Oryctolagus cuniculus: one gene and its partners. The protein of the gene in region 2 interacts with the protein of the main gene of each other region in a pairwise test. Links are inferred from orthologs where the notes say so. Each region holds a gene or a part of one and is shown on either strand. Other genes may lie near its edges. The genes, in order: RGS17, AQP1 and TRIM23.

Region 1 (4,603 bases), on a different chromosome or scaffold from region 2:
TTGATTACTTTTTAAAATTTATTTATTTATTTTAGGGGCAGAGAGAGAGCGTGCCTCAATCCAGGTCTCCTATGTGGGTAGTAGGAACCCATTACTGCTGCCTCCCAGGTTCTTCAGTAGTCAGAAATTGGGATCAGGAGACAGGAATTAAACCCAGGCACTCCAGTGTGGGGTGAGGACATCCTAACCCATGTCATAACTGCTAGGCTAAATGCTCACCTTAGGCTGATAACATTGTTTTTAATTTGAGAGGCAGAGAGACAGAAAAAGGGAGGGGGGAAAAGGAGGGAGATATAAGGAAGCAGAAATTGATGGGTATCGAAGCCAGGTACCAAACCCAGGTACTGTGATGGTGGGACCCAGTCATCCCCCCTGGTGTTTTAACAGCTATACCAGCACCTGTCCCAGATGGCTTTTTTTTTTTTTTTAAGATTTATTTATTTGAAAGTCAGAGTTACCTGAGTTACCTAGAGAGGGAAGGAGAGGCAGAGAGAGAGAGAGGTTTTCCATTGGTTGGTTCACTCCTCAGTGGCTGCATTGGCCAGACGTGTGCCAATCTGAAGCCAGGAGCTTCCTCTGGGTCGTCCCAGGCAGATGCAGGGGCTCAAGAACTTCAGCCATCCTCCCCTGCTTTCCCAGGCCATAGCAGAGAGCTGGATTGGAAGTTGAGAAGCTGGGTCTTGAACTGGCACCCATATAAGATGCAGGCACTGCAGGCAGCGGCCTTACCCACTATGCCACAGTGCTGCGTCCCTCAGGTTGCCTTTAGACATGCCTATAAGCAATTGTTTTCCTGTCTTTGAAGATGGCTTATTCAGAACTCTTGTCTAGGTGTCTATTGGTGTTCTCATATATTTTTCTTATTTGTGTGTTAATTTTTAAAGTAAACAAGGAAAGGAAATGCTTAGTGTGAAAGAAAACAGAGATCACTTTGTCTAAATCAGAAGGGCTGGAAATGCATCTGCCAAGGGATCAGGACTGCCGTGGTATTCATAATGTATTGCTACTATGCCTACACTTTCCAACTTGTACAATTCCTTTAGAAGGGTCAAGTTTGTATGTGAAGATTACCCAGGTTTCCATGGGTTGTTTCCGTTTGTTGCCATTGTTACAGGAGTCCAAGTTTCCTAAGATGAAGGGCGTTGAGAGAAAAGATGGGAGTACAGGGAGAACTTTTTGAGACATTAATTGAGATATCTCATCACAGTTGCATCTATTAATTATGAAACTGTGAAATTAATATTATATCCTACCTCAAATTTTAATGCATATGTGACATCAAATATTTAAAATATAAGAATTTTGTGTTTGCAATGCTTCACATGATTCAGTGGTCTTTTAAGCTCCTGATTTTGACTTTTTAAACTCTATAACATTTGACAAATTTGGTTTCCAAGCTTAATTAACTTGGAAAACCTATGAAGTCCCTTAGGTATGAAACTACCTAGCGAGTGTAAAATTTTATAATCATTGGAGGTTCCAGTTTCTTAAATATGGTACTATTTCAGGTATTCAGATTCAATGAATGCAGAACTTACAGTGAGTGGGAAGTCCCTATAGGAAGATCAGTAAGCTGTGGTGGAAAATAATATCTCATTTCAAAGACAACGGGATTTGAAAAGTTACTCTGCTATTTACTAGATATATAGGATTTCTCAAGAAAACTAAATATTTCATAATAGGAATTCTAACATGAGCAATGAACATCTGAAATCTCTCTGTCTTACACCTTGTAGGTGAAGTTTTCTTTTAAATCTTTGTGTCAATAGATGTAATTTTATTATAGACAATGAGTATGGGTTCACAAAGCAAATATTTACTTCCTTATATTGGGTCACATGGCCTTTTCATAGTACTGCTGATTGGTTATTGAATATACTGGTTAGAATTTAAGAGCTGTAGCATTGCAGTAAAACAGACACAACCCAAGGGGAATCATGACATACATGAAATGAGCAGGTAAGTGTTGACTTTGTTCTGCAGTGCTTCTCATTGGGAGTTACATTAGGAAAAATTCTTTTCTGAAAGCTGACAATACTTTATTTTCAATCTTGAACGTTTGGGGCTTATTTTGGGCAGTGATCTACTTTGGAGATTTTAAGAATCAGTTTTGTCTCTAAGAAGACCACTCCATGTCTCCTTTTTTCTCTCGATGGTTTTATGTTTTCAGGATTCAGTTAACCAAAATCAACAAATATTTGCCAGTCTGCTATGTGAGAAGCTGCAGTCCACAGGATTAATTAGACAATGTGAAAAAGCGTGTGGATAATTGCCCTTCAAAGAAAGAGACTTTTAAAGCAAAGAATGTAATTTGGTAGACAGAGATCAAGTTTTGGATTAAAATAACCAAAGGTTTTCTTCAATTCTTTGACCATTGGTCTCATTACCTTTAAAACCCAAAAGTGTTTAAGAATGAAATGAAGTTGTTTATAAAAATCCTTCATATATTGACAGTAACTATGCATGTTTTTGACACTATGTTGAGCTAAATAAAATAAATATAATAAACATTGTTTAGAGAATAAATACTTGAGATTTTAGTTAATTGCTGGTGTTTGTCTTAATGAATGGGTCCTTATTAATGTTGAAGTTGCTGTCCATGTGTTCTGTGTTATCCTTTCCTGAGTAGACGAAGAAACCAGTTAAATGAACATTCGTGAATGAATGTTTTTGAGTACCTGCTCTGTGTTAGGCTCTATGGTATGACTTTTGAATGCAATGGTCAATTAAACATGAACCCTTTCTATAAGGAGTTCACATATAAGCTTCTTCAACATATTATTACTTTGCTTTTATCTAGTTATGCTAACCTTAGAAGTCATAATTAAATACAACATTTCTCTAGGGTTTAGCAATTTAGGGGAATTAACCTCAAAATTTAGGAGCCTCTACCTCTCAAGTGCAAGCAGGCTGCAAAGCAGAGGCTCAGAGAAAGAAGGCAACAGGCAGTGGATCTGCTGGTGAGAGACTTAACAACCTCCATTAGAACATCAAAACAGCTAAAGACTGGAGGCTTAGGACTTTTGGGAAGTTACAAATTGGGAGAACCACACTTCACTGTCATTAATGTAAAGGGAATGTCTGCGTGCAACTGTACTGTGCTTTTCCTCTCACTTAAAGGCTTCCGTGGGTGGTGATCATAATATGAGTCAAGGCAGATGAAAATGGTGGTGGTAGGGCATGTGCAATGGAGACAGAAGAAGTCACAGCCATGCCCTTCCTTAGGGTTCATGTTTTGCTTCTGTGCTACTATCTTTCATAGTAATCTTGTGATAATACACTACACTGGCCAAAAGGCCTGGATACTCTTTTCAGATATATACATATATCTGATATATATATATATATATATACACACACACATATATATATAAAAAACTTGATTTTGGAAAGATGAACTCATCTTCAACATCAGCTTGTTGAAATCACTAGGGTGAATTCTAAACCCAGCAACTAGGTTTACTCTAATCCAGGAAGATTTAGTATCATTCATAGAATCTGAGTAAAGTCATCAAATCCTCCCTAACAATATGTTATGAATGTACATTTATGTTGCCTGTCTATGGTGATGAAAGACGTTGACATCAGGAATGAATTATCTTGAAGGTGTGCTAAACCCACATGTAAGCCACTAAATTTAACATGCTTGTCATTACACCTTTGACTGGGCTGTTAATGAATAACCATGTGAGCCACTTTGAGGTTTGAACCTGTTTCTTTTTCAATTTATTTCCTCTCAGCTCTACCGTATGGCATTTGTGACCTGTATGTTTAGTATGACCAAGACTTACCAGATAAAAACAAAGAAAAATGAGTGTCTCTTTTGAGGGTACTATGCTATGCAACACTATTTAAAAAATAATACAGTGATTTACATAATCTACAAACTGGTGTGACTGACTGAATGCTATATTGTGAAGTGTAGTAGTCAATACTCCACATGAATTGCAGTGTTAACATTTTTCCTAACTAGTGTTAGAATGAAGCTTGATATTTGATCTCCCTTTTTATTTTATCAACAGTATCAATAGAATTTGTAAATAGATATGTGAGAAGAAAGGAGTATAGATAGTTCTCATACAAAAATTGGTGTTTGTCATTATATTTATCTTAGAATATGTACATTTCTCCATAATTTATAATATATCATGAACTCATGTTCAATCTGTCAGGAAAAAAAAATCTCTGCTGTTTTATTCTCTTCTGGTAGTCATGGATTAACTGCCTTGCTTGTCATATCTGTGCTAGTTTATGAATAAATAATGTCTGTAATCTTGATTCAAGCCATTAGAGCCATGTTTTCTTCATCTGCTAATGTACAATAACGTCAGTTTTCACTGTTGAAATCTTTTTGATGAAATTACTTTTAAGTAATCTCCGGGTCTAATGACTCACCTGTATTTATATTAATTATGGATTTAGTTGAAAGTTATGCATGTATTACTTTTAAACCCCAAAGATAGAGAAGTCCTTTATACACTGCAGAGTTTAATATTTTGAAAAGATGATCTGTGTGGAACTGTATGCACGTATTTGTGTGTGATTCCTGTCTGTATTCATGGGGTGAGAGTGGGGAACTGCTGGCCTGCCTGCATAATCATTG
Region 2 (3,582 bases):
GTGCTCACTGGGCCTCTCTGCTCCCGTCCCCACAGCTGGCCCCTGGCGTGAACTCAGGCCAGGGCCTGGGCATCGAGATCATCGGCACCCTGCAGCTGGTGCTGTGTGTGCTGGCCACCACCGACCGCAGGCGCCGCGACCTGGGCGGCTCAGCTCCCCTTGCCATCGGCTTTTCTGTGGCCCTGGGACACCTGTTGGCGGTGAGCTGGGGGGACTTTCCCTGGTTGGGGTGGCAGTCAGGGAAAGCCTTGCCCGGGGCTGTGGGTGGGGTTATGGATGGAGCAGGTCAGCCTCAGGGGACTAGGGGACCTCCCGACCAGCTTTCTGGGCCGGTGTCCCTCGGTGCTTCTGTGTCTGACTCGCGCTCTCCCCCACCTCGCTCTCCTGTCGCTTCCCCTGCACCTGTCTCTGCCCCTGCCCTGTCTCTTCATTCCTCTCCCTTCTTTGCCGGGTCCCGCCTTCCCTCTTCTTCCTCTTCCTCTCCCCTTGTCCGTCTCCCCAACCCCCAGATCGACTACACTGGCTGTGGCATTAACCCTGCTCGGTCCTTCGGCTCGGCGGTGCTCACCCACAACTTCAACAACCACTGGGTAAGTGACCCCTGTGGGGGCCGCCTGGGGCGGGGGTGGGTGGGAGGCACTAGCATCTGCGGCAAGCCTGAGCCCACCTCACATCCTGCTTTCCCTACACAGAGGTCTGGGAGACAGCGGGGCCACGAGGGGTCACACAGTGGGCAGTTCTAGGACTGGCTTCTCCCTCCCAGCTTAGACCCACCCTGCCCTGTCCGGCCCACAAGTCACTCCAGCAGCATGGCTGAGAGCGGGTCTGAGTCCTGCCCTGCCTGATACAGCGTGGCCTGGGGCAGGTGCTTGCCTCCTGGTGCGGTGGCTTCCCCAGCTGTGAAGTGGGTTCACAGTGGTCCCTCCCCAAGCAGGGCTGCGGGGCGGAGAAGGCAGGCACTCACTGGCACACCTGCAGGCCGAGCTCAGCTCACAGGGAGCGCCCGATGGGCTTTCGCTGTGACGATGGCTGCTGTGCAGGGTCCAGGCCAGCATCTTACCTGCTGGGCCCTCACAGTGGGGGAGGCTGGGAAGAGCTGGACGCCCTCTGAGCCTGCCCACTCTGCTCCTAGATCTTCTGGGTGGGGCCATTCATCGGGGGCGCCCTGGCCGTGCTCATCTACGACTTTATCCTGGCGCCGCGCAGCAGCGACCTCACGGATCGCATGAAGGTGTGGACCAGCGGCCAGGTGGAGGAGTATGACCTGGACGGCGATGACATCAACTCCAGGGTGGAGATGAAACCCAAATAGAGGGGCCAGGCCCAGGCACCGACCTGGGGGGTGCGGGTTTGGGGGGGTGGAGGGCGGGTGGGCTGAAATCCGTATTACAGACACTCTGACAAGCTGGCCAAAGGCACTCCCCTGAGTGGACCTGCCGTCGGGGTCAGGCCTCATTTAGGGGTGTCCATATAACTTTCTTTCTCTGTCTCTGTTTCTTGGCCTCGGAGCTTCTTGGTGACCAAGGTTTACCAGTTGCCCCACTCCCCTGATGTCATGGAGGAGGTGAAAGAGAGGCCCTCAGAGTGTAGCCTTTTCTGGCCTGGAGGGGTGCCAGGCAGTCCCCCTCATCCGGAGTTGCTCACCTGCTCACCTGCCACAGGTGCCTGGGGTTCTATTGTCAAAGCTATGTGCCTTTGGGAGTGGCCCCCCTTTCCTAACATGCACCTTGCCCCCAGGAGTGCTGGGAAGGAGATCCCAGCAGGTGCAGTGGCGGGGGGTGTGCAGACAAGCCCTGCCCCTGCCATTTGCCTTGGTCACAGGACCCTCCCACTGTGCTTTTGCTGCATGAACTTGGAGCTGGCCCCATCTGTACAGTAGCAGGGACAGGGCGAGCCATGTGGGTCTGAGTTCCTCTCTAGGATTCTGCAAGTGTAGACACGTCATGGGTTCCAGGAGGTGTAGTGTAGACCCCTGTGCACAAGCAGATGGGTTTCAGAGCAGAGGTCCACCCACCGCACAGGTTTCTGGATCTGCTGCTCCCCAGGGAGTGGCTTCCCAAGTCGCGGTTGGCTGTTGCAGACTGAAGGTCATTTAGAGGGCAGAGGACAGGCACTTGTGTTCCTTCACCATGTCCACGTCATGTCCATGGCCCGCTGCACTGTGGCCATCATATCTCAGTTCTCCACTTCCCTTGCCAGTGTGGACACAGGCCCCTGATGTGAGTGTGTCGTTAAAGAACCTTGGGTTCCCTGAAGCCTGGAGGCCGGGGACAGCCAGACCCCTATCCTGAGCAGCCCCTGGGGGCACAGCCACTGCCAGACCCCCGCCCCGCTGGCCCTGAGTGGGAGGAGCCCCCTTGCGCAGCCCCTGGGGGCACAGCCACTGCCAGACCCCCACCCCACTGGCCCTGAGTGGGAGGAGCCCCCTTGCTTTGTTCATGAGTGTGGTGGGGGGCATCGGGGTAGCTTCCTGACTCTGGGACCCCAGGCCACAAATCCTTTCCTCCTCACTGACCTGGAGGGCAGAGGTCAGCAGTGGGAGTTGGGGAGCTGGTCCTTCCGCTCAGCTATCTGCTCGAGTCCATTGAATTCCACCAGGGCCAGAACAGCTCCCTGGCGTGTCCATAGCCAGGGTGGCAATGAAAACCCAGAGACACAATGACGCAGGTGGACAGCCAGGAGGCCTTAGCAGTCACTGGCATGTGGCATGTGCACATGCATGTCTCCATTCCCTAGCAGGAACTTCCAGCCATTTAACAGATGAGGAAACTGAGGCCCAAGACCCCCACAGCTAGATGATTTGGCCAGGCCTAGCAATGAAGGCCATGTCTCTGGCTACTCCCTGGAGCTTGAGGCTGACCCCTGTCATTTGCAGCTTCCCAGTTTCTGCCTGGGCACTGACCAGGGCCTGGGGGTGGGGGTGGGGCGCGTGGGAGGGGAGAGGGGCAGGCCCACTCCCTGCTGGTTCTGGCTGCTGCGCCGAGGACCCTGCATCTGTCTGCTCTGCATACCTGCCTCTGGATTTGGAATTTCACGTATGTTAAGTCAATAAAGGAAATGACACGTAAAGTCCGCTGGCCTCCTGTGGTTCTTCTCCCCGGGGTGCTGTGTCCCTACAGGGGTGTTCTGGGTCTGCAAGGGAGGGTTGGGGAGGTCCTGCCTGCTCGCCTGCTCTCAGGACCCTCAGCACAGAACCCCACCGCAGGGGTGCAGAGTCCTGCCCCGCCCACCCCACCGCCACCCCTGCAGGCAGTGTTCGGGGCTCAGTGGACCACTCTGGAGGTCTGGGGGCAGCTGAGTGGTGCAGGGGTTCTGGCCGTTTGCTCAGGGTGGTGGGAGCCATCTCTGACTGTGGAGTGTGGGAGGACTGGGGAAGGCGGGGCTGAGGTCCAGCAGCCCCACTAATCCCCTCTGCCCCGTATAGTGCTCTCCCTCTGCCCTCAGCTCACATGTGTGACCCCACCTGCCCCTGTGCCCCAGGGGGCTGAGGCTCAGGGGACACACACTCAGTCCTCTGAGTCGGTGAGATGAGTGTCAGGTTCAGGGTCATACCTAGGTTCCTGACACTGCCCCAGTGCACAC
Region 3 (3,841 bases), on a different chromosome or scaffold from region 2:
TTGTTAAAAAAGATCATGGGCTTTTGTATTTTAAAATCTGTCATGTTATAATGATTGAATTCAGTTTTAAGACATTACTTTTTTGTTTGTCAGAGCATTATTCGTTGTGATGAAGATGAAGCTCATGTTGCATCTGTATACTGCACTGTGTGTGCAACTCACTTGTGCTCAGAGTGTTCCCAAGGTACTCATTCTACAAAGACTTTAGCGAAGCACAGGCGAGTGCCTCTAGCTGATAAACCTCATGAGAAAACCATGTGCTCGCAGCACCAGGTGCATGCCATTGAGTTTGTTTGTTTGGAAGAAGGTTGTCAAAGTAGCCCACTCATGTGCTGTGTCTGCAAAGAATATGGAAAGCACCAAGGTCACAAGGTATGAATCTAATTAAACTGAATGACTAGCTAGTTTACCAGCCCACCATTTGTTTTCATCTACCTGATCTTTATCCTAAAAGTAGAGGTTGAAGAAGAGATAAGGGAGGAATGTGTTAGGCTTTGCAGTGTATAAAGAAATGAGAGCTCTTTATTTCTGAATGTCAGAAAAATGTCAGAGGCCTCATGATTCTTTCTCTACTGAGAAATAGCTTTCTAGCAAGAAGGCAAAATTCTCTTCTTTGAGTTTGTGTTTTCATAATGTACTGGGTTGTTTTGTCAGTATGTAAGTTTATTGATGAACATTTCTTATAGTATAATTTTAGAGATTATCTCTAGGTTTCTTGTTTAGTGATAGATGGACTTCCAAATTTTAAATTATGTGCAGGAAAGTTTTCTTTTTTAATGAAGGAGTTAAAATGAATTCATATTGTTTAACTTCTTATATACATTTCTAAATGTGTTATAAAGGCCACTTGAGACTGATCTTTTTTGTCTTAATAGAAAGGTCTTAAATAATTTTTTAGTATCATTGGCCAATGCTGTGAGTTTTTTCCTATGGTTTTGTTGCATTTTATAGCATTCAGTACTGGAACCAGAAGCTAATCAGATTCGAGCATCAATTTTAGATATGGCTCACTGCATACGGACGTTCACTGAGGAAATAGCAGATTATTCCAGAAAACTAGTTGGAATTGTCCAGCACATTGAAGGTGGAGAACAAATAGTTGAAGATGGAATTGCAATGGCTCACACAGAACATGTATGGATTTCTTTCTTCCCCCTTTCCTTATCCTTTTTTTGTTCACACCTTTCCATTTTCTAGTAAGTATTTATTGAACGGTTAATGTGAATTCCGTACTGCATCAGTCACTGGAAATAAGTTTTAAAAAAAACCTGTTTTAATGGAATGTGTAATTCATCATGGAAGAAAGATAGTTTCAAGTGTGGTAACTTTTGTGGGTGGGAACTACAGGGTTCCTTGGCATGTATAACAAGGGCAACAATTTTTGTGTGTCAGGGAAAGCTTCCTAGAAGTGATTCTGAACTGCAATTTGCAGGAATGCAGTCAAGAGGAAGAGCAGGATAGGAGTGAGTTGCTCTGGAGAGGAACAGTATATTAAAATGCCTGGAAGTGAGGGTTAGGCTTCCTGTTAAAACTTAAGTTCACTGTGATTGGAACTTTTGAGTATTGAATGGAGCATGGCAAGAAGAGTTTGGAGAATTAAAGACTAAATCATCCATGATTTTGTCAGCCATATACAAGGGTTCAGAACTTAGCTTAAGGGCAGTGATGAGCCCCTGAAGATTTGACATAGAAATGGCACAATAATATCTGTATAAAGAAAGGTTGCTCTGAAATGTAGAAGATGAAGTGGAGGAGCAACAAGATTGGAAGCATGAAGATGTTGAAATGCCTAGTTCAAAAGTGCTTCTGTCCTATGATACTATGGTAGTGAAAATGGACAGAAGTACATGGATTTGAGACTTTAAAGAAGTCATATATATATATAAAATATGCATATAATATATATTTTAAATATTTATTTTTATTTATTTGAAAGATGGAGTTACAGAGAAAGCAGAAGAGAGAGAAAGAACATTCATTTACTGGTTCACTCCCCAAATGGCTGCAACGGCCTGGTCTGGGCCAGGCCAAAGCCAGGAGCCAGGAGCTTCTTCCTGATCTCCCACATGAGTGCAGGGGCCCAAGCAGTAGGGCCATCTTCCACTGCCTTCGCAGGCACATTAACAGGGAGTTGAATTGGAAGTGGAGCAGCTGGTCTCGAACCTGCTGTGCAGCAATGCTGGCTCCTTAAAGAAGTTTTAAAGAATTTGCCAAGGGATGAGTTGTAGTACATTAAAGAGAGATGTTAAGGTTAACTCCAGTTGTTTTTATTTCAACAACCTGGAGGATGGAAATGCCATTTACTGAGATGAAAGTAACTAGGGTTTGGGGATAGATTAGGTGTAACATTTTGCTGGAGATGCCATTTGTGAATACTTGGATGTCCACAGTCTATAGTTAAGGAGAAAAATCTAACATGGAGATTGAAAACTTGGAATTTTTGAGGGTATAGATGGTATGTAACTTTTTTCATCATTTCAGTTATAAAATCTTTGTTAACATTACAGTTGTTGAAAATTGTATTTCTTTAGGTACCAGGTACTGCAGAGAATGCTCGATCATGTGTCCGAGCTTATTTTTCTGATCTACATGAAACTCTGTGTCGACAAGAAGAAATGGCTCTAAGTGTTGTTGATGCCCATGTTCGTGAAAAGCTAATTTGGCTCAGGCAGCAACAAGAAGATATGACTATTTTGTTGTCTCAGGTTTCAACAGCCTGCCTCCATTGTGAAAAGACTTTACAGCAGGTAGGTAGGTAGGTTAAATGTTGTTAGGCTCTTTGTTGTGACATTAAGTAGATAATTACAGAAACTACACACTAGTCTGTTTTGTTGATTTAGTGTGTTCTGTCACGTGCATTAACGTTGTGCTTAGGACATGATCTCTAATTTGAAATTGCTACACCAGCCACATCAGCATCCTTTCCTTCAGTACCTTCCTCCCATAACGTTACGGATTCCAGAAGCCCTCAGGCTTCATTTCATTCTTCAGTGCTGCCAAGCCCTTTCTTACTTTTCATGTCAGGTGTATACTCTTCTTTCTGCTTGGAGTGCCTCTGTCTTTTCATTTTCTCTCTTTCTCTCTCTCTCTCTCTTCTCTCTCTCTTTCTCTCTCTCTTTCTCTCTTTCTCTCTCTTTCTCTCTTTCTTTCTCTTTCTTTCTCTCTCTTTCTTTCTCTTTCTCTCTTTTTCTTTTCTTTTCTTTTCTTTTCTTTTCTTTTCTTTTCTTTTCTTTTCTTTTCTTTTCTTTTCTTTTCTTTTCTTTTCTTTTCTTTTCTTTTCCCTCCCTCCCTCCCTCCCTCCCTCCCTCCCTCCCTCCCTCCCTCCCTCTCTCTCTCTCTCTCTCTCTCTCTCTCTCTCTCTCTCTTTCTTTCTTTCTTTCTTTCTTTTTGACAGGCAGAGTTAGACAGTGAGAGAGACAGAGAGAAAGGTCTTCCTTTTTCCGTTGGTTCACCCTTCAATGGCCGCTGTGGCCGGTGCACTGCGCTGATCCGAAGCCGGGATCCAGGTGCTTCTCTTGGTCTCCCATGTGGGTGCAGGGCCCAAGCACTTGGGCCATCCTCCACTGCACTCCCAGGCCACAGCAGAGAGCTGGCCTGGAAGAGGGGCAACCGGAACAGAATCCGGTACCCCGACCGGGACTAGAACCCCGGGTGCCGGAGCTGCAGGCGGAGGATTAGCCTAGTGAGCTGTGGCACTGGCCGCCTCTGTCTTTTCTGATAGTGGAAATCCTAATCCTTCAAGGTCTAGCACAAATGTTTGCTGTTCTTTGTAACTTTTCTTTCTTGTTTTTTTTCTTTTAATTATTTAAAAATTTATTTGAGGGGTGGACACTGAGACACA

What was found.
Region 1: the proteins of AQP1 (region 2) and RGS17 interact in binary tests that used the Homo sapiens proteins (3 or more experiments, as listed by UniProt). The two-hybrid records come from large-scale screens. The link is inferred for Oryctolagus cuniculus from reciprocal best matches to the Homo sapiens genes AQP1 and RGS17.
Region 3: the proteins of AQP1 (region 2) and TRIM23 interact in binary tests that used the Homo sapiens proteins (3 or more experiments, as listed by UniProt). The two-hybrid records come from large-scale screens. The link is inferred for Oryctolagus cuniculus from reciprocal best matches to the Homo sapiens genes AQP1 and TRIM23.

What each region holds. Positions count from the first base shown.
Region 1 is NC_091436.1:14,661,501-14,666,103, forward strand, and holds the start of RGS17 (regulator of G-protein signaling 17), read left to right. Parts: upstream 1-1,784; 5' UTR 1,785-1,951; coding exon 1,952-1,959; intron 1,960-4,603. UniProt on the Homo sapiens protein: Regulates G protein-coupled receptor signaling cascades, including signaling via muscarinic acetylcholine receptor CHRM2 and dopamine receptor DRD2.
Region 2 is NC_091447.1:22,134,356-22,137,937, forward strand, and holds the end of AQP1 (aquaporin-1), read left to right. Parts: intron 1-35; coding exon 36-200; intron 201-509; coding exon 510-590; intron 591-1,132; coding exon 1,133-1,312; 3' UTR 1,313-3,069; downstream 3,070-3,582. UniProt on the Homo sapiens protein: Forms a water channel that facilitates the transport of water across cell membranes, playing a crucial role in water homeostasis in various tissues.
Region 3 is NC_091445.1:86,561,775-86,565,615, reverse strand, and holds part of TRIM23 (E3 ubiquitin-protein ligase TRIM23), read left to right. Parts: intron 1-93; coding exon 94-372; intron 373-951; coding exon 952-1,134; intron 1,135-2,531; coding exon 2,532-2,747; intron 2,748-3,841.